3 linked regions of the Tamandua tetradactyla genome follow. The protein of the gene in region 1 interacts with the protein of each later gene in a pairwise test. Links are inferred from orthologs where the notes say so. Each region holds a gene or a part of one and is shown in the gene's direction. Other genes may lie near its edges.

What was found.
Region 2: the proteins of TRIM42 (region 1) and YWHAQ interact in binary tests that used the Homo sapiens proteins (3 or more experiments, as listed by UniProt). The two-hybrid records come from large-scale screens. The link is inferred for Tamandua tetradactyla from reciprocal best matches to the Homo sapiens genes TRIM42 and YWHAQ.
Region 3: the proteins of TRIM42 (region 1) and EMD interact in binary tests that used the Homo sapiens proteins (3 or more experiments, as listed by UniProt). The two-hybrid records come from large-scale screens. The link is inferred for Tamandua tetradactyla from reciprocal best matches to the Homo sapiens genes TRIM42 and EMD.

Annotation. Positions count from the first base shown.
Region 1 is NC_135341.1:84,768,862-84,776,796, forward strand, and holds the start of TRIM42 (tripartite motif-containing protein 42), read left to right. Parts: upstream 1-4,931; 5' UTR 4,932-5,142; coding exon 5,143-5,483; intron 5,484-7,935.
Region 2 is NC_135329.1:55,646,631-55,654,278, reverse strand, and holds the start of YWHAQ (14-3-3 protein theta), read left to right. Parts: upstream 1-4,648; 5' UTR 4,649-4,780; intron 4,781-5,190; 5' UTR 5,191-5,310; coding exon 5,311-5,604; intron 5,605-7,648. UniProt on the Homo sapiens protein: Adapter protein implicated in the regulation of a large spectrum of both general and specialized signaling pathways. Binds to a large number of partners, usually by recognition of a phosphoserine or phosphothreonine motif.
Region 3 is NC_135353.1:6,569,393-6,576,198, reverse strand, and holds EMD (emerin), read left to right. Parts: upstream 1-4,307; 5' UTR 4,308-4,469; coding exon 4,470-4,551; intron 4,552-4,641; coding exon 4,642-4,752; intron 4,753-4,929; coding exon 4,930-5,007; intron 5,008-5,239; coding exon 5,240-5,373; intron 5,374-5,738; coding exon 5,739-5,788; intron 5,789-5,898; coding exon 5,899-6,232; 3' UTR 6,233-6,306; downstream 6,307-6,806. UniProt on the Homo sapiens protein: Stabilizes and promotes the formation of a nuclear actin cortical network. Stimulates actin polymerization in vitro by binding and stabilizing the pointed end of growing filaments. Inhibits beta-catenin activity by preventing its accumulation in the nucleus.

The DNA of each region.
Region 1 (7,935 bases):
AAAAGGAACAGAGCCTAAGGAACCTGTGAACACCATCAAATACAACAATGGATACACCATAGGAACCCAAAAGGAGAAGAGACAGATAAAGGGGCAAAAAAGAATGTGCAGAATTAATTGCTAAAAACTTCCCAGATTTGCTGAAAGCTATGAATGCTAAACACCAAGCGGAATGGGCTCAAAGATTATGATCAAATGTCAAGAATAATGCAGAATTTTAAAAACAGCAAGAGTCAAGCAATGCATCATATATAAGGAATTTTTACTAAGATGACGAACCAATTTCTCAATAGAAACCCTGGAGTCCAGAAGATAGTGAGACAACATATTTGAAGTGCTGAAAGAAAAAATCCACCAACCAAGAATTCTGTATACCCCAAAGGATTAAAAATACATGTTCATGCAAGCACTTGTACATGAATGCTCATTGCACCATTATTCATAATAGTCAAATAGTGAAAACAATCCAAATGTCAATGTGGTATATCCATATAATAGACCATCATTCAGCCATTAAAAAGAAAGTGGTGGGGAACTTCTGGGGAAGATAGCACAGTAGGGAGCTCCAGGATGCAGTCCTTCCACCAAACAGCTACTAAACAGGCAGGAACCATCTGAAACAAATGTTATGGGGCCCTGGAGACCAGCAGAAGGAAGAGGCTGGTAAACCACAGTGGCAAAGAACAGCAAGTTGCTCTCTTCAAGCAGAGGCTCTTGGCCCCCATTCCCCACTCTTACAGCTGGGTGCTATGAGGCCCAGTCCTAGGCCACCTCACTGGGGACAGAGAGGGACATAAAATGCTCTTCCCCAAGAACAGGGGTGGGTGCAGTAGATCACTGATCATGCCTTTTGATTAGTGAATTTGGATCACTGGGTCCTGGCTCTGAGCTTGTATTTCAACCTGCCTGGAAAAAGGCAGCAGCAGCAGTTTTTTAACCTTGCTCTTGACAGGGGCAGACTTGGTGGAGATTTGAACACACAGTGCTTCATGGGGGCTCTGGGGGTGATGAGCTGAGGGGCTGCACTTGCTAGAAAGGCCAGAAAAGCACAGAATTGGGGACCATCCTTTCTTGAGGAAACCCTTCAACAACTAGGAATCGAAGGAAACTTCCTCAACATGATAAAGGGCATGTATGAAAACCCAGAGCTAGCATTGTACTCGGTTGTGAAAGCTTTCCCTCCAAGATATGGGATAAGACAAGGATGCCTACTGTCACCACCGCTCTAGAAGTTCTAGCCAGAATAGTAAAGCAAGAAAAAGAAATAAAAGACATCTAAATTGGAAAAGAAGAAGTGACACTGTCACTATCTGCAGATGACATGATCCTATACAGACAGTCCCAAAGTGTCTACAACAAAGATACTAGAGCTAATAAAGCTGTTTAACAAAGTGATGGGATAAAAGCTCAACATGCAAAAATCAGTAGTGCTTCCATACACTAGTAATGAGCGATCTGGTTCAATGAAATCCCAATCAAAATCCCAACAGCCTACTTTACAGAAATAGAAAAACCAATTATCAAATTTATTTGGAAGGATAAGGGCCCCCAATAGCAAAAAAATATCTTGGAAAAAAAAGAACAAAGTTGTAAGACAAACACTTATTGACTTTAAAGCTTTTACAAAGCTACAATGGTCAAAGCATCATGGTTCTGCCATAGGGACATTATATTAACCAATGAAATCAAATGAGAGCTTAGGAATAGACTCTCATATCTAAGACCAATTGATTTTTGATGAGATTGCTAAGTTTAGAATAGTCTGTTCAACAAATGGTGTTAGAAGAACTGGATATCCATAGGCAGAAGAATGAAAGAGGACCCTATCTCACACACTATACAAAAATTATCTCAAAATGGATCAAAGACCTACTTATATGCACCAGGACTATGAAAGTTCTAGAAGAAAATGTAGGTAAGCATCTTCAAGATCTTATAGTAGGCAATGGTTTCTTAGACTTTACATCCAAAACACAAGCAGTGAAAGAAAAAAACTAGATAAATGGGAGCTCCTCAAAACTAAAAATGTTTGTGCATCAATAGAATTTGTCATGAAATTGAAAAGACCACCTACTCAATGGGAAAAAATATTTGGAAGCCACATACCCAATAATGATTTAATATCCAAAATATATAAAGAAACCCTATAACTCAACAATTAAAAGACAAACAACCCAATTTACAAATGGGCAAAAAACTTGAATAGACATTTCTCCAAAGAGAATACATAAATGGCTAAAACGCAAATGAAGAGATGCTCGACATCACTAGTGATTAGGGAAATGTAAATCAAAACCGCAATGAGGTATCATTTCACACTGACTACAATGGCCACTATTTAAAGAAAAAACAGAAAACTAGAAGTGTTGGAGAGGCTGTGGGCAAATAAGAGCATTCATTCATGTAAAGTGGTTTAGCCTCTGTGGAAGATAGTTTGGCAGTTCCACAGGAAGCTAAGTGTGCAATTAACGAGGTGATTTAGCAATCCCAGTACTGTATGTGTATCTATATCTAGAAGAATTGAAAACCATGGACTGTAGCAAATATTTGTACACTGATACTCATAGAGGCATTATTCACAATTGCCAAAAGATGGAAGAAACCCAAGTTTCCATCAGCTGATAAACAGATAAACAAATGTGGTGTCTACATACGATGGAATATTATTCAACCGTAAAAAGGAATGAAGTCTTAATGCACGTGACAACATGGGTGAACCTGGAGGACAGTATGCTAGCCAGACACAAAAAGACAAATATGGCATGATCTCACTTTTGTGAACTAATTATAATAAGCAAACTCAAAGAGTTCCTATCTAAATATAAATTACCTGGAGATAGACTGGGGTTGGAGAATGGGGATTTGATGCTTAGACTTGTACGGAACTTCTATTTAGGCTAATAGTTAAGGTGTGAATTTCTATTTAGGCTAATGGTTAAGGTGTGGAAATGGATGGCGGCAATGGGAGCACATTATTGGGTGTGTCATCAACAGCACTGAGCTATAGAGGTGAATGTGTTTAAAAGGGGAAACTTTAGGATGTATATATTACTAGAATAAAATTTAAAAAATAAGACATGGGATTGTACAACACAGCAAATCCTATTATAGATGACTGACTATGGCTAATAGTATAAGAATGCTCTTTCATAAATTATAAAAAATATACAACAGTAATACAAGGTGTCAGTGACAGGGTAGGAATGGGGAAAATACACCTAATGTAAATTACGGATGACATAATAGTACGATTTTAATAATTTTTCATCAATTGTGACAAAGGTAACTGCTATTAAAATATATATAGTACAATTATTTTTAAAGTGCTATCATCAGTTATATTGAGGGTTTGGTGGTGTATGAGAATCTCGTATTTTATGCATAGTTGTTTGTAAAGCCACAAATTCTCTAATAAAAATCTTTCAAAAAGGAATGAAATACCTGATACATGCTACAGTGTGGATGACCTTGAAAATATTATGTGAAGTGAAAGAAGTCAGACACAAAAGGCCACAAATTCAGTGATTCCATTTCTATGCACTACTCAGTACAGGTAAAAATCACAGTGACACAAAGTAGAGTAGCGGGTGGTGGGCAGGGGCCGGGGGTGGGTGGGTGAGATGAGGAGTGGCTGCTAATGGGTACAGTCACTTTGGGGATATGATAACACTATTTTGGAATTAGAGAGCGGTGATGGTTGCACAACCACACAAATATATTAAAAGCACTGAACTGTACACTTTTACATGGAAAATTTTATGGGATCTGAATTATGTCTCAATTAATAAGAACAGGAGGCTTTGCACAGACCAGTGATGAAAAGGCACCATAAATCCATAACCAACTCAGATCTCAGCACCTGGGGACAGAAAGAAATAGAGACAAAATTGCAGTTGGGCAGACATGCGGGAAAAGGTGTCTTTCAAACATTGTTGGTATCAGTGTAAACTGACACATACATTTCAGCAAGCAATTTAGTAGTATCTATAAAAAATAAATCAAATACTCTGTGATCTAGGATTTTCACTTGAAGGGTCGTAAAAACAATTTGTGGCTGGCAGCGAGTCAGCACTCAGTGAAGAGTCTTTTCTATTAAAAAGGTGACGGTCACAGAAAGAGATCATAAATTATGCAAAAAAAACACTGCAGCCACACTCAATTCTCACATCTGTTTCACACAGTGTTTATGTCATAATACTGTATGACAATGAACTTTCTGACCTTTAATCTTTGTAAGGCACATAAGGTGCAAAGAAAAATTCTCCTCTAAAACATAAGGTCTATTTACTAAGGATCCTTCTGTAGAATTCTGCACTTTGTAAAAGGGCTATATTGGGGACAGTGCAGGGGGGAAGCAAACAGCTTGAGTCTCATCAAGCATTAGAAAAGTCAAGAAATATTTGGGGTAACTTAAGCATGAAGACTTCTGGAAATCAGCAGTGACTATACAGCAAATGACAAACTCAACAACTACAGAAAGAAGTGCTAATTGTACCTAATTCTTCTTTTCCTTTAGTTCTTTCTCCATTATATTTTTAAATGTGACATTGCTAATATTTGTAAACACTGTGCTTTGTTCATCAAATAGATAGCTCTATCTATGCAAAAATAAATAAAGAAAGAAAGAAGAAGAAGAGAGAAAAAACATGTCAGTCTATATTCACAATCATATCCAGACCTTTCAGCCTATGAAGACGTACCTGGAGTCAGCTTGTCCAAACTGCAGTCACAGAAGCAAGGAGAATTAGATTCTGAAATCTGATCTATAACCCAGAGGTGACAAATGACAGCTAAACCTCTAGGATGTCATTGCATCACTTCCTGAAGCTGGTCCTGTGGAAGCATGGATTGTCCATCAGCTCACCTTGCTGCCAGGTGTCCCCACTGCTGCCCCACCTACCCAGGGTGGTGAGAGGTGGTAGGGAGACAGGAATTGTGACATAAGCAAAGGCCCTCCAGCTGATACATGCATATGCCAGCCCCTGAGCTTCCTAGTAAGGACACCACCTGTGAAGGCCTTGCCACAGCCGACCTGCTCAGCCGCCAAGCTGACCAACTCCTCGGGCGGGGGGAGCCACGGCAGGATTCTGGTAGAGGAGGGACCACAAGCCCCAGGGGGCAGGGTGCAATCATGTAGGCGCCATGGAGACCGCTATGTGTGTCTGCTCACCCTGCTGTACATGGCAGAGGTGTTGTCCCCAGCTGTGCTCCTGTCTGTGCTGCAAGTTCCTCTTCACCTCGGAGCGCAACTGCACCTGTTTCCCCTGCCCCTACAAGGATGAGCGCAACTGTCAGTGCTGCCACTGCACCTGCTCCGAGAACCCCAACTGCCACTGGTGTTGCTGCTCCTGGGCCAATGACCCCAACTGCAAGTACTGCTGCATGGCCAGCAGCAACCTCATGTGCCACTACTATGAGAGTCGCTGCTGCCGCAACGCCACCATCACCTTCCGCAGGGGCCGCCTCAAGAGCATCCGCACCTCGTAAGTGCCAGCACCCAATGGGCTAAGGAGAGCCGGGGGACAAGGCCGGTGCACCCCTAAGCCTGTCTCTCCATCTGAAAAACAGATGCCCACTCTTTTGTAACATTAAGTGTATCCCAAACAGCCATAAACCACGTGCAGGCCAGAGTTTCAAATCCAAGCTCTAATGGTGAGGAGGAGCTGCACTCTCCTGGCCTCCACTTGCTCATCTGTGCACGGGCACAGCAGCGGGTACTGGGTATTAGGGCACCATCACTACCAGGCACTGCCTGCACGACCCCACCTAACCCTCCCACCACCCACACTGAACTGATGATGAAATCAAGCCTTTGAGAGGTTCATTTGCCCAGGATCACACAGCTATTGAGATGTCAGGATCTGAACCCAGAGTCTTTGATCTTAACTTTAAAAGGCTGTACTGCAAAGCAAAGGCACCCATGCGTGCCAGGGTACAGAGGCCTGAGGATGACTGAATAGGCTTTGTAATCTGCTGGGCAGTATTAAAATATAAGTCGTTCTTCCTCCACTGAGCATGACATCTGCACCATTAACTGGGCAAAATAATCACATCCACAGGCGAGTTTAGACCCCTATATAAGTACTGCATCCCCCTTTGAACTCCTATCTGCCTTCTGCTCTTTCCTATCCAAAAGTCACAGCACCTACAGTCTCAGTTGGGGCGTTCACCCTCCATGCCAGGCATTACACAGCCCCTCCCTGGTCTGGCCAGGCCAGTCTTTTATGTCACATGTGAGGAAGGTATGGAGTAATGTGGGCAGACTTCTCAGAGGAGAACAGATCAAAGCTCAGCCCCATAAGATGACAGAATTTGGTGAGACAGAGAAGCAGGAGGTAAGTTTGGATCTTTCTGAGGCTAGAAAAGCAATTCTATGAGCAAAGTTGCGGTGGCTCTGGGGGAGGAGTACAATCCGTCTTGCATTCAAGCACTTAGTAGATGCTTAGTGGCTGGGACGCTCTCCACCAATGGGCTTCTCATTGGTGCACGCGTGACTAGAGAGTCCAGGAATTCCGGGTGCATGTCAGAACACTCTAGGGTGTGGAGAGTAGAGTCCACACCCCCTCTCCGCACAACCGCCTTGCTCTCTGCGTGTCAGCAACACAGATTTGCTAAGCCCATTTCAGCAGCAAGGGGGGCGATGAGCTCGGCAGGAGCTTTGAGAGGATGGTAAGACCAGTGGCTCCCACACTGTGCTGTGCGTTAGAACCATCTGGGGACAGGGACGTACAGGAAACGCAAGAAGGTCAAGGCAGGGGGAACAGCCATGGAATCAAGACCAAAATCCAAACCTTGCTAATGGGATCAGAGGTGAAGGGATAGGCACAGCCACAAACTGTTTCTGTCCACTCCTTCATTCCCACAGCAAACCGTGTCTTTTCATGAACTGCTTTTGCTCTGATTGGAGCCTTTAGAAGCTACACTTGTATTTTACAAGTAAGCTTTATTTCACCTAGAATGCTTACATTCCAGGAAACAAGCCCCAAAAACATTCAGCATAACATAATTAGACAAAGCATCTTAAACACACACACACAAGACGCTAGAAGCACACACTTTGCACGGACTTGACCGCTAGTTTCCTCTGCTGTGGACATGAGCTGGCTGGCCGCGGACAGGAGTAATTACAACAGCCACATGCACCATTATAATTATGTACCAGCATCTAGGCACATAGCATAGATTTTTCTCTTTGTAGAAACCTCACGAAGGAAGTACTATTGTGGGCCTTGATTCACAGATGAAGCAACAGGCTGAGAGAAGTGGTGCCTTCCAGCTCACTTCTAACCGTCACTGCCTGGTCCAGGGGGCAGAGCTCATGGGCTCTAGAACTGGCATAGCTACTGAGCTCCTGCCCTGGGAGAGGCCCTGTCTCCTGCCCCAACTCCTGGGTTCCAACCGACGTACACAAATAATAATGTCCATAACCTCCAGGCAGAAACAAGCAAGAATACACTGTAATTGGAACAAAAGTGGATGTATTGACCCACTGCAACAAGGGAGGCACCCCAGGAAACTGTGAGGTGTCTCAGTCAGAGGGTGTCAATAAAGTATAGGACTGGGGCTCGAAGTAGGTGAGGAGGTGGGGGGGGGGACCTCTTAGTGGGTGTCGCACTAAGTCTTACCTAGAAGGCAGGGGGACCAGGTGAGCCCCCCAGTTGCCATTGGTAAAGAAGCAGGAACTGGTGTTAACTGGGAGAGACAGATGTCTGGTCAATTTTGTGGTTTGAGTAACGTTCCTATTTTTGTCTGGTTCAGACATGATTGTGTTTTGATCCATGACAGTCCCCAGGTGGGCTTGTCTGACATTAGCGTCCAGTGATATTGCTTCTGTCCGACAGGAACTTCCCCGCCCCCAACCCCCAGGCCAGCAGATAGGCCCAGGGTGGTCCCAGTTCCAGGGCTGCTTTACTCTTGTTCAAAGAGCAGTTCAGC
Region 2 (7,648 bases), on another chromosome or scaffold:
ACAATGATAGGCTGGGTGGAGACGGAGTTGACATGGAAATGTTCATGGAGGAAGTGAAAGAAATCAGGAGAAAGCTGCGGTTGGGGAACTTTCTGTGTATCCTTGTGGAGAGCTCTCCCATCACCATGACCATCGTGAGGAATTCTGCCTTATGCCTTGACTCCTGCCATTTTCCATGAGATGAAACTGGGATTCCCGCTGGCTTTTTCTTTTTCTTTGCATTTTCCTGATAAACTTTTGCCGATCTCTTATCTGTGGACCTTATGCTATTTCCCTGAGTCAGTGGGCTTGTGTTACCAGCTCTTCATTGGAGATTGCCTTTGCATCCCGTTTAAGTTTTCATCAGAAGTAAATTTTTACCCATTTGAATGGAAAGATGTAAAGTTAATAGAGCAATTTTTAAAAGGAAAAAAAAACCAAGCTGCTGAACAATGGGAATAATGTGTTCTCGGGCGTATAAAAGGGCATGCATATAGCTATGGGTGTACAAAGGAAAAGAGATTTATTCTAGAAGGAGGCCACCAAAATGTTAACAGTGGTTACCTCTCAGAGGTACCTCTCAATTCCTCTGTCCTCTCCCTTGACAATGATCATCAACATTATCACCCTTACACAATTAAAAAAGAAAGGAGCAACTCTATTGCCTGGCCTATGGGAAATGTTGGCTAAAAATCAGAATGTTAGAGTCCTTCCCCAAGGGGCAGGCTCACTGAACGCCGATTAGTATGCCTGAAACTCCACTGTGAAAGTGGGTTTTTTTTGGGGGGGGGTGGGGTGGAATGGGGTACATGGTCCAGGAATCAAACCTGGGTCTCCAGCATGGAAGGCGGGCATTCTAACCACTAAACTACCCAAGTACCCTATTGCTAACGTTTTATTCTTCCAATTCAAGAGCTTCTTTTCCTCTTAAAATGCAAATAATGGCAGAAGAAATGTCGCTTGAAGACTTACCAAATTTTTACGTGATGGAATGAGTCTACTAGATTTTTTTTTTCCCTGGGAGCACACAGTGCAGTAAGAAAGAAGAGAGCCTTAAAACGAGGTGTGGGTGAGCGGAGCAAGGAGACGCTGGAGCGAGGGCAACCACTGGCACAGAGAGAAGGGAGCCTGCAGGTGACAGGATTACGCCTGGCCCACTGCACAGCCTGAAGGAAAACTGAATTTACAGGCTGGATCCTGGCCCTGAGATGGAATGCGTAGGAATAATTTTTCCCTGGCCAGACTCTATTTGATTTCCCCACCTGTCCTAGTCTCGGTGTGAATCTCCATTTAGCTCCTCAAGGCGTGGTGGGGAGTGGGTTGCAACTTTCAAACTGCCCGTTAAAGAGAAGTATTGTGAGTAGTTAGATATGAATTTGGGGTGAAAAGTCTCCCTCAAATGTTTGTCAGCATTACCTGCCATATGGCAGGAGAGAAAGAGGCTCCCCTGTGATGATTCACTGTTCCCAGCAAATAAACAATTTAGGAGAGTAAACTCAACCAGGAGGACTCATTCATTCTGGGATGCACATTGAATGGAGGCATTCTGCAGGCCATTAACTCCACTAATTGCAACAATGATTCAAGAGATAAGCTTCCACTAACCTCTTATCAGTCTCCTCCAGGCTGGCAGGACACCACCTCCCTCCCTCTCACTTTACCCAGCCCCTAAGAGGAGGGAAAGAAAGAAAGAAACGAATATTTACTAACGCTTTATGTTCAGCATCTTTCTATACGGTACCTTATTTCATCTCCCACCACAGTGCTTTGAGGTTGGGATGATTGTGACAGGTTAGGAAACCAGGGTTCAGAGACAATCATAAGATGTCCATGGTCAAACTGACTTCAAATCCAGGGTGCTCCCCCCCCCCCCGCCCCCCTGCAGAAGCTGCTCACCAAGTAGTTTAGAAAAAAAACATCACAAGAACATCAGATAAATAAGATAATAACTCCCCAGTACTTTGTTAGCTGTCTGTTCCCTAGAGTCCTTCCTGGTGTGTTGGATGCGGGTGTTTCCCACGTTTCACATTTTCTAGAATGAAACTCCTAGAAGACAGAAGCTAGTCTGGTTCTTTCTAGAACCCTCCACAACACCTAGCAATGATGCTGGGAGACTGGATGACATAGCTACAGTGTAAAGGTTACAAGAACGGGCTTTGGCGCCTACACCACCCGGGTCCAAATCGAGGCTCTGCCACTTACTGTGTAAGCCTGAAGCATAACTGTACCTCAGTTTCCTTCTCTGCGAAATGGAGCTAGTGCTCATAACAGAACCTACTTCACGGCACTACTAAGCAGATTAAATGAGCTAATACTTGCAAAAGACAGTGTTTGACACAGGTAATTTCTAAATAAGCATCAACTCTTTATGTGTCCAGGGACATTAAGCTTCCAGAGCTTTATTTTTCTCTGACCCAAGTTTTTGAGGTGTAGAGGACCCAAGTTCTTTCTCACTCCAGAAGGATCTTCATTATGAGGAAAAATCAGAAACCACCTAAGAAGAGAATTTTGACTTTTGAAGCGTCATCTAAATAATGCTAATACATACTTTGAGGTGTATGTATGTATCCTTCTTGATTCTCCTCAAATACTTTACAATTTCATAGGGAGTCATATTTTTGAAGCAGTTTTCCACCTACATTTCCAGATGATCCTAACAATTCGAGGTAGGTGCTCGAAATAAACATTTAATGATGGAATGAAAGCAGAAATTTTATAGAACAGACTGAGGTACAGAAAACAGCAAAAACTTGCCTTAAGGACATCCAAGGAGATGGCAGCAGCCCAGACTTTCTGACAAAGAATTTAGTGTGCTTGCCCCTTCCAGGTAACCCAGCTCTTCTTACCACAGAGGTCCAAACCCCCCAAATGCCCCCCCGCCCCAACACACACACATACACACACACACACACACACACACACACACACATACACACTTTCCCTCTCTCTCTCTCTCTCTCTCTCTCTCTCATTTCCTCTGGTGTGTCCATCAGGTCTGTCTCTAATTTCGGTAAACTTGTAATGCAATGCACTGGTCATACAGAAAGCATTTTATCTGACCTTCCACATGCAAATTCTTTCCATTGGGATTTCTCGGTGTCCAGCTCCACCCCAGCCCACAAGGCCATAACCACTTGTGTGTCTACAGGCTAGCCCCAGGGATTCCAGAAATAACAGCATGGCCCTCCCTAGGAACACTGGAACACAGCAAGGCATTTCTGCTTTAGGACCCGGGCCCCTTCCAAACCAGGCCTCTCCTGTCTGTCAAAATACAAAGCAACCTTTAGAAGGCAGGACAGGGAGGGGGCAGCTGGGAGAGTTTACATTTCTGGAAAGCCTGCACTTTCTCCTCCCATCTGTATGCACTCCCAGATCTTCCATTCTAGAAATTCTCCAAATTTGCTCCGGTCGCTGCTTAGAATTTGAAATTCTTTCTCCACTATGGCATTCCTTGGCTTTCAACAATCCATTCTCTATTGGACAGTTGGAATTGGAATCGTAGCAGCATGAGCCCAGATGGCAATTTTCCTCCCAAGATGGCATAAAGCCCACTTCCCATATCCATAGAACAGGAGTTGGAGGACTAGTGAAATGCCAGGAGAGAAGGGAGTGGCCGCCAGAGAATAGCCTAGTTAAAGGGAAAGGAAAATGGTAGGGACCATCCTGAATAGAAGGCATCTGGGGCAACCTTTCTCATTCCAGAAGGATCTTCATTATGAGGAAAAATCAGAAACCACCTAAGAAGAGAATTTTGACTTTTGAAGCGTCATCTAAATAATGCTAGAAAATTTAAAGTGTGTACACATAAGACAATGATGTGAAAACCGTTGTATATCTGGAAAAGCTGGAAAGAAATTTAAAATTAGTTGCTTTGGGGGAGGGGGAAGTTATGTGTATTTTTCTCCAAATTGTCCTTAATGTCATGTGGCATTAAAATATATATATATATTTTAATATAGCATTGCAGATGAGATTTGCCTTGACCCCTTCAGATCTACCTTTTGACAAGGGAATTTTAGGGTTTGGTGCCCGAATGAAAACTTGCATTTATCATGTAAAAGCCAAACTTAAGTCACTTTCCCTAGGAACGAAAGCCTCTTTAGTGAGGATAAGATTTTTGTTTCTAATTCGCAGTCCTAATAGCAGCGTCGTTAAAGGCTGGATTTAGTGTGTTGATCCCCAAACCTTTGTCACGAATACGAGGGTGGAAGAAAGAAAAGCGTTTGTGCCACTTAACAGCCGACTATGTCGCCCTCCCAAGCTGAGCCTCGGTCAGGGCCAAGCAGCGCGGCTAGCTGAACCAGCTGGCGAGATGCCACGCATCCGTCGCGGAAGGCCACGCGGGCACGGCCGGAGAGGTCGCGCGAACCACTCGCTGGGTCTCGTGCCGCACCCACAAGGGCCGGGGGCCGGCGGGGAAGATGAAGGGAGTGGGTAAGAGCATCACCATGGCAACAGTGACGTCCTTTTACCCTGGACCTAATTGGAGGAAACCCCGTGGCCGAAGCCGCAGCCTACCGGCCAACCGAACTTCCCCAAGACGACCCACCCTCCTAGGCTCCGCTCTCTCCTCCCGCGCGGCCCCGCCTTCGCCCCCTTCCGCGCGCTCAGGCTTCATTGGCCAGAACCGGGGCGGGAGGCGGGACTCGCGGGGGGAAGCTCAGCGCATCATTGGGCAGCGGCAACGAGGGCGGGCTGTCCCTTCGGCTCTGGGGTAGGCTGAGACGGGAGGGTCCTTCGCTCAATCCCAGAGCGGATCCGAGCGGTAGGAGTTGCGCTGCGGCCGCGAAGGCAGGGAAAGGTAAGTGCTGGGGCCGCTCCCCCGCCTCTCGGGCGGTCTCCCCTGGGCCTGAGGGCAGGGGTTGGCGACCCGGCCCTCGACCGCGGCCCGACTTCTCGACGCCTCGCTCCTCAGGGACGGCTCCCGGCGGGGGTAAGGTGCGGGGCTAACGGCCGCTTCCATCTTGGGCTTCCCGGGCCGGGCGGCGCTGACGGGAGTGGCCCTTCCTGCCGGCCTTTCCCCGCCCTCGGCCTCTCACCCCGGTGCCCGGGCGGTGGGAGGGAAATTCAACTCGGCGGCGTCGGCCGAGACAAAAGGAGGGCGGCTCGGCGCGGTGGGGGCCGGGCGCCGCGCTGGGCGGGGTGCGGGGCGCATTGTCTGATAGCGCGCCCGCCCGCCTCCCCCTCCTTTTTGTTCTCTCCTCCCCGCAGGCTGTCGAGGAGGCCGCTTCCTGATCCGGGTCGCTGCTCGCAGCCGTCCGAGCCTCGCGCGCTCTCTGCCGGGCCCGACGCCTCCCCCAGCCCCGCACGCAGACCCCAGACCCACGCGCCATGGAGAAGACGGAGCTCATCCAGAAGGCGAAACTGGCCGAGCAGGCCGAGCGCTACGACGACATGGCCACCTGCATGAAGGCCGTGACTGAGCAGGGGGCCGAGCTGTCCAACGAGGAGCGCAATCTGCTCTCGGTGGCCTACAAGAACGTGGTCGGGGGCCGCCGGTCCGCCTGGAGGGTCATCTCCAGCATCGAGCAGAAGACTGACACCTCCGACAAGAAGTTGCAGCTGATTAAGGACTATCGGGAGAAAGTGGAGTCGGAACTGAGATCCATCTGCACCACGGTCCTGGTGAGTCTCGATTTTGGTGTCTCGGCGGCGTGCGAGGCGAATAGGGCGCCCCGGGCCCTTTTGTGTTATGCCTCTCCTTGGGAATTTTCATGGGAAGAGCTAAGAAATGTGGCCGAGGGTTGGCCTGATTTGTGTGCCCACGTAGAGGTTTTGAGAAGATTAGCCTGAGTTTCCACAGTATAGGCTGCTTGTGTTCTTGGGACTCCAGAAACTGGTTTTTCAGGGGTGAGTAAATCTTTACCCACATATCGCGCAATGTAACTTTTAAACATCCAAGTAGATTTATACAGGATTTGTACAAGATTGTAAAGAGTGTTGTCAGCTGGGAAACTGCGTACTAAGGAGACTTGTGACCCTTTCCAATATATTTAATCGATGCATAGGCTTCCAACAGTTGAAATACGGTGCAGGCAGCGTTTGGACGTGACGATGTAGTAGTAGGTTTTCCTTCCAAACTTAGTCATAGAAATTTACTTCAAAAATCTGAATAGATACCTTATTTTTCAAATAAGATTCTCTGTTAAAAACGGGAGGGAGGGAAGTTCAGTAAATGTGAAAAAGACACACCTAAATCTAAAGAAGAAACTGCTGTCCCGGTAAATTTTACCATTTACTAACATTTTCCTGCTATGGTGTATAGTTAAAATGCTAATATATTGAAATGAATTCATTTCTGGCTTGAAGCAGACAAGCAAGGCTTTCTAGGTTTTAAGCTGTTCAGTGTTAGCAAGGGTGGATATTGGGTGGAGTAGGTGGCTGCTGTGATTCACCCTTATTAGTGATAGATAACATTTTTAGCTTTGTCATTGCAGAGACAGGATCATGCTCTTTGGATCAATAAGACAGGTTCTTAAAATTTAAATGCTAATATTATATCCTGGAGTATTTTTAAATGTTTTCATGATGTAAAGACTTGTTTCTCCTGATAAAATATGACATGCATGATTTGCCTTTTCTCTTTGTAAGTGCCACTTTTACAAGAGGCCTACTTTTATTTTGAGTTTGTTCCCACATTGTATGTTAGGTGGGCTTGGAAAGACATGCATGCCAGATTGGTGATTTTTTTCATGGGAGAGTAAAGGTGAAAATTGCTACTTTCCTTCCCAGCCACCTTTCCCTCTCATCAGAGGAGAATGTTTTGCTTTTTTATTAAAAAAAAATTTTTTTAATCTGTTTTTCTAATACAAATAGCAAGTAATCTGGACAAAATCATTGCTATGGAAATAACAGGGACAAAGAAAGCAGTGCAGAGAGGGTGTATTAAAGCGGAGATGACTGTATTGACATTATTTGTTTTATGAGGATAAAACTTTATATTATTTTCATCTTTGTGTTCTTAACTTCCAGTCCCCTGGTTGACATAGAGACATAGAAGCTTTTTGGAGTGAATTGACATGTATTTAAGAAAAGTGGCCTACTTGAACATGATAGAGTTCAGTAGCAAATGATAATGTTTTTTGACAGTATCAATTATTATCAAGGGAGGACTCATAAGAACTCCATATTTTATGTATGTATTTGGGGAGTTCTCAAGCATATTTCCTTTTCTTTGTATTCAGTTATTTGCAATTTTTAGTTACTCTGCAGCAATTCAGAAGTACCACAATATTTTGCCTATTTTCTAGCAAGTTAACTCTGAGCCAAGGAAATATTTGTTTTATTTTGTGGTTTTATAAATTTTAGTTTTTATGACAGTGTAAGGTGGAGAATCTTGCTTAGTTGGTGTGAGGCTTGAAAGAGAGATAAGGTATGAAAATAGACCTTCATAGGAGAGAACCCCTGAAATTAGGACAGTTTTTATATACTGAGGTAGTATAGAAGAGTTCAGCTTGAATCATCTGGGACACCAGAGCATAAGTAAAATATTTTATTGATACAATGGCTTGAGAGACTAATTGTGACTTGAAAGCCAACCTATAAAGAAAATCCTGGGAAAGCATATATTCAAGTTGGCAACTGTGTTTGAGAGCTCACTGTGCGAGGTAGTCCTGGGCAGTTTGGAGAAGAACAAAGTTGAAAACCATAGATTTTGCCTTCTAACAAT
Region 3 (6,806 bases), on another chromosome or scaffold:
CACCCGCCTTAGCCACCAGCCTCACGGCCCGACCCGGCCAAGACCCGCGAGCAGCGCAGAGCCCGGCTTCTGACTCCTCACCTGCTGTCCCTGCGGGTGGCCGGCGACCGTGGGTTGGCGCCCGGCTTGCCTTCGCGCTCGCGCCTCCGGGCTGTGCCGGTGTTCGCTGAGCGCCGCGCGCCTCCACGCGAATGGCCCGCCGCCGCCCGCCTTCTTGTTGGCCGCACCCCCCGCCCCGCGCCCGGGCTCGGCCCGGCCCGGCCCGCAGAGAAAGCCTTAATTGGTAAAATCGCCCAGGAGCCGGGGGGCGGGGGTGCGCGGGAGCTCGTGCGCCCGGGCTGTACTGGCGACGCCGCCCCCCCACCCCAGATGAGGGATGAGCTCACCACCCGGCTAGGGCCGCCAGCGCTGGGGGAGGGGGGGTGGGGGTGGGTGCTTGCTTCGAGCTCCCGCGGGGTCTGCAGGGCCCACGTCTCAGCCCAGCCCTTTAGACATCGGCTTGCTGCGTTTGGGGGAGCCAAGGGCTCCCCAGGCAGAAAGGCCCAGCTCCAAGGCCACCTCCTCCAGGAAGCCCACCCCCACTCCCCAGAGTCAGGGCCCTCTGCACCCACCATCCTCTGCTCCAGCCCGGGCTGGGAAAGCAAATCGGTTTCTGTTGCCCTGGGAGGGAAGAAGTAGGGGACGGGGTAGGTCAAAGGCAGGGGCAGGTGTCCACTGAGCATCTACTAGATGAAAGGCCTGGGGCAGAGCTGAATGGAGGGGGCAGTCTTAACAGCCACCATGTGCTTGACCCCTGTTGGGTGCCAGGCTGACCTAGGGGCGTGCAGCGGAAACCCACGGACTTCTCAGCAGTCCCCTCCTGCAGAGGGCCCGTTAGACACAGTCCCAGAGCTTGGGAGAGCGCAGGAGGGTGCAGCCAAGAGCCAAGGGTCCGTGAGCTGGGCGGGCACAGACCTGCCACACCTTCCTTTTCTCCATGCCCATTGCCTCCAAGGTGCGGTTCCACATCAAACGCCACTTTCTCTTAGGAAGTCCACATAAAGCGCTGTCTTTTTACCACATCGCCCACCATCCCATAAGGATTCCGTTTTACATCCTGAACCAGCGCGCGCACACACTAAAGAACTGAAACACATTTTCAGAAAATAAGACTTTTCTTTTGCAGCTGGACCCACAGTGCCCGGGCTGGGGTGGGGTCATGGCAGTGGGGCAACTTCACTAGGAGTGAAGATGAGCTCAGAGATCCCCAGGTCCAGAAGGGGGCTACTGGGACTCATGGCCGTGTCAGTCCATTGGGGAGGGACACCCACAGGCCAAAAGCAGGTGCCAACCAGGCTAGGAGTGCCATTGCTGGAAGGGGCGCAGGGGTGGCTCTGTGGAGTCTCCAGACTCCCACCTCCACTGGAACTCCCTCTTTACACTCACACCCCCTTCCCCAAGCCCACACTGCAAACACATGCAGCTCTTCGGCATCTCGACCTGTTCCAAGTCTGGGTGGAATGGGTTGTACAGCACTAGCTGTTCCCTGGTGAAGATCATAATCAATGAAAGCCATGGCGTGGAAGAGACAGGGAAAGCACCCGAATCACCATTCCTAACCGCCAGGGCAAGCTGCCTCTCCACCCAGCCATCCCCAGAGCATTAAGATGAGCTGATGCGTCCTAGGGCCCAGACACAATGCTTTGAATGGGCAGCTCTCCATTCAAAGTTTTATAGCGATTGTGACAATCATCGACGCATTATTTTTCACCACAATCCTCATCGCATGACTTCGTACACCATCTGAGCGATGTGTCAAGGGATTCGAAAAGCAGCTAAAACCCAAAGGATCTTGAATAGCCTGAAGAGAAAAGTTAAGGCTCGTCTCTTTTCATGTTGAACAACATTCTGATTTTAAAGAAAACATTGTTTATAGCTCAATGAATGACTGCCTCCCTGTACATGGATGCTGAGAAATGTATTCCAGTAGATATGTTTCATTGCCTATAACTTTCAAGAGTGAAAGTCTCTTCCCCTCTCTGGGCCCCTGATTCTCCACTATATAGTGTGGGGGTGGGGGATGTTGCAGAGGGCCTGTTAACTCTGATGGTCAAGGCTTCACCTAGTTACTGGTGGTCTGGGGTGGAGCTGCACTGGCAATGGGACTGGACGTGGGCTCCAGGTGCCCACTGGGTGGGCACAGGGGGACCGCCCACAGTTCAGCCTCCTGGAGTCATCTGCGGTGAGACCTTATGGGGAGGGGGCACAAAAGAGTGCTGGGGCAGGTGCCGGGGGTGGGATGGGGGACTGTGTTCCTTGGGGAGAAGGCAAACCTAGAATTCCTTGACCGCAAAAGGAAACAGCTTGGATCCGCGTGGGGAGGGGCGGCGAGGGGGGGAGGACAGAGCGGCCAGAACGGCTCTGTACACGCGGGCCTCTGGGAGAGGGGCCAGCATTGCAAAAGAAGGTTCTCGGAGGTGCTGGGGCATCTGATCTTGCCAAAACACGAAACTATGCCCAGCCTGGAGCCCAGATCACCCTCCCCTCCTCTGCTCTGCTGAGGGATCAGGAGCAGGCCCCCTGTTCTAGGGCTAGCATCTCCTCCTTCTGCAGAGAACGGTGTTGTCACAGACCCGCTTGCCTCCCCTCCATGCAGCAGGAGACAGGGCAGGGCCAGGACGGACCTTGTCTTTTCAACCCTGGGCCACGGTGACTCTTCAGAAGGGTCTCTGTCTGTGGTTCAGTCCCCACCCCCACTGGGTAAACCTCCATCCAGAACCAGTCTGTGGCCCCCACGGCTGGGCAGACCAGCCTGGGTCTGCCTGGAGCCCTCCCTCTTTATCTGCAGCCAAGACGGGTCATCCAGTAGGGCAGGTGACTCTTCTCTCCGGGCTCCCCGGGGTGCACCCCAGTTTGCCCCACACCCCATTAGGCCGGCTTTGTTTAGAAGAGGACTGCCAGCCCCTCCCCACACTCCAGCGGACAGTCTCTTTCCGAGCAAGGTCTTTATCTCCTCCCAGCCACACTCCGTGTAACCTCAGCAGGCCTCGGCAGGCTTCTGCGGTTTGCACGCCATCCACACCCCTCCTTTGGCCACCCGTCCTGCCATTGTCCCTGCAGCGGGCTCAGACCCCTCTGACAGGTCCATCTGACTCGAGAGCCAACCCCCTCCGCGGGGGGCCCTGCTAGGCCACCTCTGTCCCACTCAGCTCAAGGGCCATTCCCACAGGAGAGGAAGCCCCCCCCTCCCTCGGGGAAGGCCGGCAGGTGGGGTGGCGGGCACACGCTGTCCCAGCACGCGTCATGTCAGCGTCCCGTGCCAGTGAGTGCTAGCCGGCCCGGGCCCCTTGGAAGGCTGGTTGTCCCTGGAATGCCTGCGGCCTCCTGGCCCAGTGCCCCCTTTCCTGCGAGCGCAGGCGGGAGGGAGGTGGTGAGTGCGGGACGGGCACAGGTGCGTGGGCCAGGGAGGGGACAGGGGTCTAGGAGGTGGCGGGCCTTAGAGTCGCGGCCCTAGCTGGCGGTGGCTTCCCTCGCTTGCCGCGTGCAGAGCGCCCGGGAACAAGCCCTGCCCGGAGCCGGGGCTCTCCAAGTATCTCCGGGCCTGAGGAGCCCCTTTATCCCGAAGCCTGGGGAAGGGGACAGTGACCAGGGCGGAGGGACTGAGGCGCCTCTGCCCACGTGACTCAGGGCGCACGAGCCACTTCCAGCGCGCCGCCCTGCCCCGCTAGCCTGACCGGTTTCCGCCGGTTGGGCTCCCGAGCACGCCCCGCCCCGCTCCCATGTCTGCCCGTACACACCAGCGTGTGACGTCTTTGTTCGCAGGCTCCGCCCCTCCCTCGGGCGCGCAGTCGCACCGCCCTCCCTGATACACCCTGGCCTGCACCGCTCTGGTTCCCGCGCAGGCCCCGCCCCTCTCCCACGTCTAGCCCGGGCACGCCAGGGTGTGACGTCTTGGCTCGCCAGCCCCGCCCCACTCCCACGTCCCGGCCGGTCGGCGGGGTTTCGGCTCCCGCGGAGGCCCCGCCCCACTTCCGCTTCTAGCCCGAACATACCAGCTAGTGACGTCTGCGCTCCTCAGCCCCGCCCCGCCCCCACGTCCAGGTCCGAACGCGCCGCTTCGGCGCCCACGCAGGCCCCGCCCCCTCCCGCGCGCAGCCCGTACCCTCTCGTTTGTGAAGTCACCGCCTGCCGGCCCCGCCCGCTCTCACGTTCGGGCCCGGCTCTCCCGCCCCGGCGCCGCCCGCCCCCACTTCCAGACCGGTCTGCGCCGGCTGCGCCCCCGCGCCTCGCTCCCGACCCCCCGCCCCCCACCCGGCAGCGCGCAGGCCTGGGCCGCGGAGACGCGGTCGTGACGTGGTCGAGCGGTTGCCTCGCACCCGTCGCCGCGCTCCCAGGCTACCGTTGCCAGTCCGCGTCCCCCAGCCCGGCCTGCCTCCCAGGCCTCCGCCGCCGTCGCCGCCGCCCGCCCGAGGCCCAGGGCCGGCCTCGCCATGGACGACTACGCGGTTCTGTCGGACGCCGAGCTGGTGGCCGTGCTGCGCCAGTACAACATCCCGCACGGGCCCATCGTGGGTACGCTGCCTGCGGGCGGGCGGGCGGGCTGCGGGCGGGAGGGTGGCCTCCCTGTGCCACTGACGCGCCCCGGGCTCTGTCTGTGCCCAGGCTCCACCCGCAAGCTCTACGAGAAGAAAATCTTCGAGTACGAAACCCAGAGGCGCCGACTCTCGCCCCCGAACTCCTCCTCCTCCTCGTCGTTCTCGTATCGCTTCTCGGGTGAGCCCTTTCCTCCCCTCCCCCCAATCCCAGACCACCCAGGGCCCCTTGCCACCGGAGGGGACCCGGCTGGGGCGGCCGGGAAGCCAGGGTCCGGGCCAGGAGGGCCACCTGCGCCTGGGGGCGGGGAGACCTGAGCTCAGATGTCCCCTCGGTCCCTGCCCCCTCGGTCCCCAGACCTGGATTCAGCCTCGGTGGACTCGGATATGTACGACCTGCCCAAGAAAGAGGATGACTTGCTGTACCAGAGCAAGGGTAAGGCAGGGAGGGGTGCTGGGGGGGTGCTGGGGAGGGGGCACCCTGAGACCCTCGCCCCACTCTGCCGTGGACTCTGGTCTTAGGAGGGCCTGAGATCTCAGTTCCCACCCGGCCCTGGAGGGGAGAGATTAGTGTCACCCCCAAAGTGCAGAATTCAGGTGAGGGCCACCAGCCGGATGGGGGGGCTACTGACGGAGCCTGTGCTACCCACCCCCTGCCTCTCCTCAAGGCTACAACGACGACTACTATGAGGAGAGTTACCTGAGTACCGAGACTTATGGGGAGTCTAGTTCCGGGGGCACATCCGAGGGCTTCCGGGAGCCCCGAACCTCACTCCAGGATGCCGACACCTTTCACCAACAGGTGAGCCAGAACTTGGGCAGAACTGGATAAAGCCATGGGGTCAGGGGGTGGACATGGGGGGCTCCTTCCCAGTTCCCTGGCGTCCCAGGAGGAGTGGGGGCCAAGCAGTGCCCTGGTTGGGGGGTGGGGGCAGGGGTGTTGACACTGGTGGACCAGACCCCGCCCCAGCCAGTGCACACCTGCACCCTGGTCTGGGCTCTGGGTTTGAGCTGGTTCTCAGTCCTGGGGAACAGAGGCAGCCAGGACAGTCACTGAGCAAGTGGCAAAGCCCAGAGAGGTCTTGGAGGGCTTAGGGCCCTTAACCTTGAAGCAGCGGTTAGAGCAGGCTGGCCAGCTCTGCCCCTCACCTTGACTATCTCTTCCAGGTGCAGGATGACAACCATTTCTCCTCTTCTGAAGAGGAGAGCAAGGAGAGGTGAGCAGCGGGGAGCGCCCCAGGAGGGAAGGCTGGGCGCAGGGGGCAGGGGCGGGAGCCAATCCTGGGCCGGGTCCAGCCTGGCTTACCTGTGCCCCTCTCTGCCTCAGGGAGTGCCCCTCGTACGCCCGGGACAGCGCGTACCAGAGCATCGCGCACTACCGCCCGCTTTCGAACATGGGCAGGAACTCCCTGGGCCCGTCCTATTACCCTACATCCTCCTCCACCTCCTCAGCCTCCTCTTCCTCCTCTTCCCCACCTTCGTGGCTGACCCGCCGGGCCATCCGGCCCGAAAAGCAGGCCCCTGGGGCAGGGTTGGGGCAGGAGCGCCAGGTCCCGCTTTGGGGCCAGCTGCTCCTTTTCTTGGTCTTTGCTGCCTTCCTGGTGTTCGTTTACTACTCAATGCAGGCCGAAGAGGGCAACCCCTTTTGGATGGAGCCCTGAGGGCCTGGTTTCCTGGCCAGCTCTTCTCAGAAGACCTGGCTCAACTGCCTTAGCAGTGTTTTGGTGGGGGTGGGGGTGGGGGTGGGGGGTGGGAGCTTACCTGTGTGTTTCTATCTTTTGGGGAGCTAGGCCTGGCCCAGATCAGTGCTTTGGTCCCCTCCCCCTTCTGCCTCATCCTGCTGGGGAGGTGGCAGGCTCAGGCCTTCCTCACTTGCTGGGCCCAGCGGGGTCTCCTGGCCCTGTTTGCCTTGAACCTGTGGGGCCCTGGCAGGACCTGCCGCTGTTCCTTCCAAGGAGCACATAGCTGTTGTTTTCATGCATGCGTCCTGTTCATGTCACCACTGTGGAGGAGTCACCAGAGGCCACCCCAACTTTGTTTTCGTGGACACACAATAAAAAGACCGTTTATTTTGAAGGCATTGGCTTTTCCTGCTTGGGGGAGTGGGTCGGCAATGTGTCGGGATTCCCAGGGCACAGGGTGTCTGGATCTGGGGTCTGAAGGCTCCGTATCTGCCTTTCTTGGCTTTGCTGTCTTGCTTTTGTCGTTGGGCAAAGGGATCAGATGCTACCCATG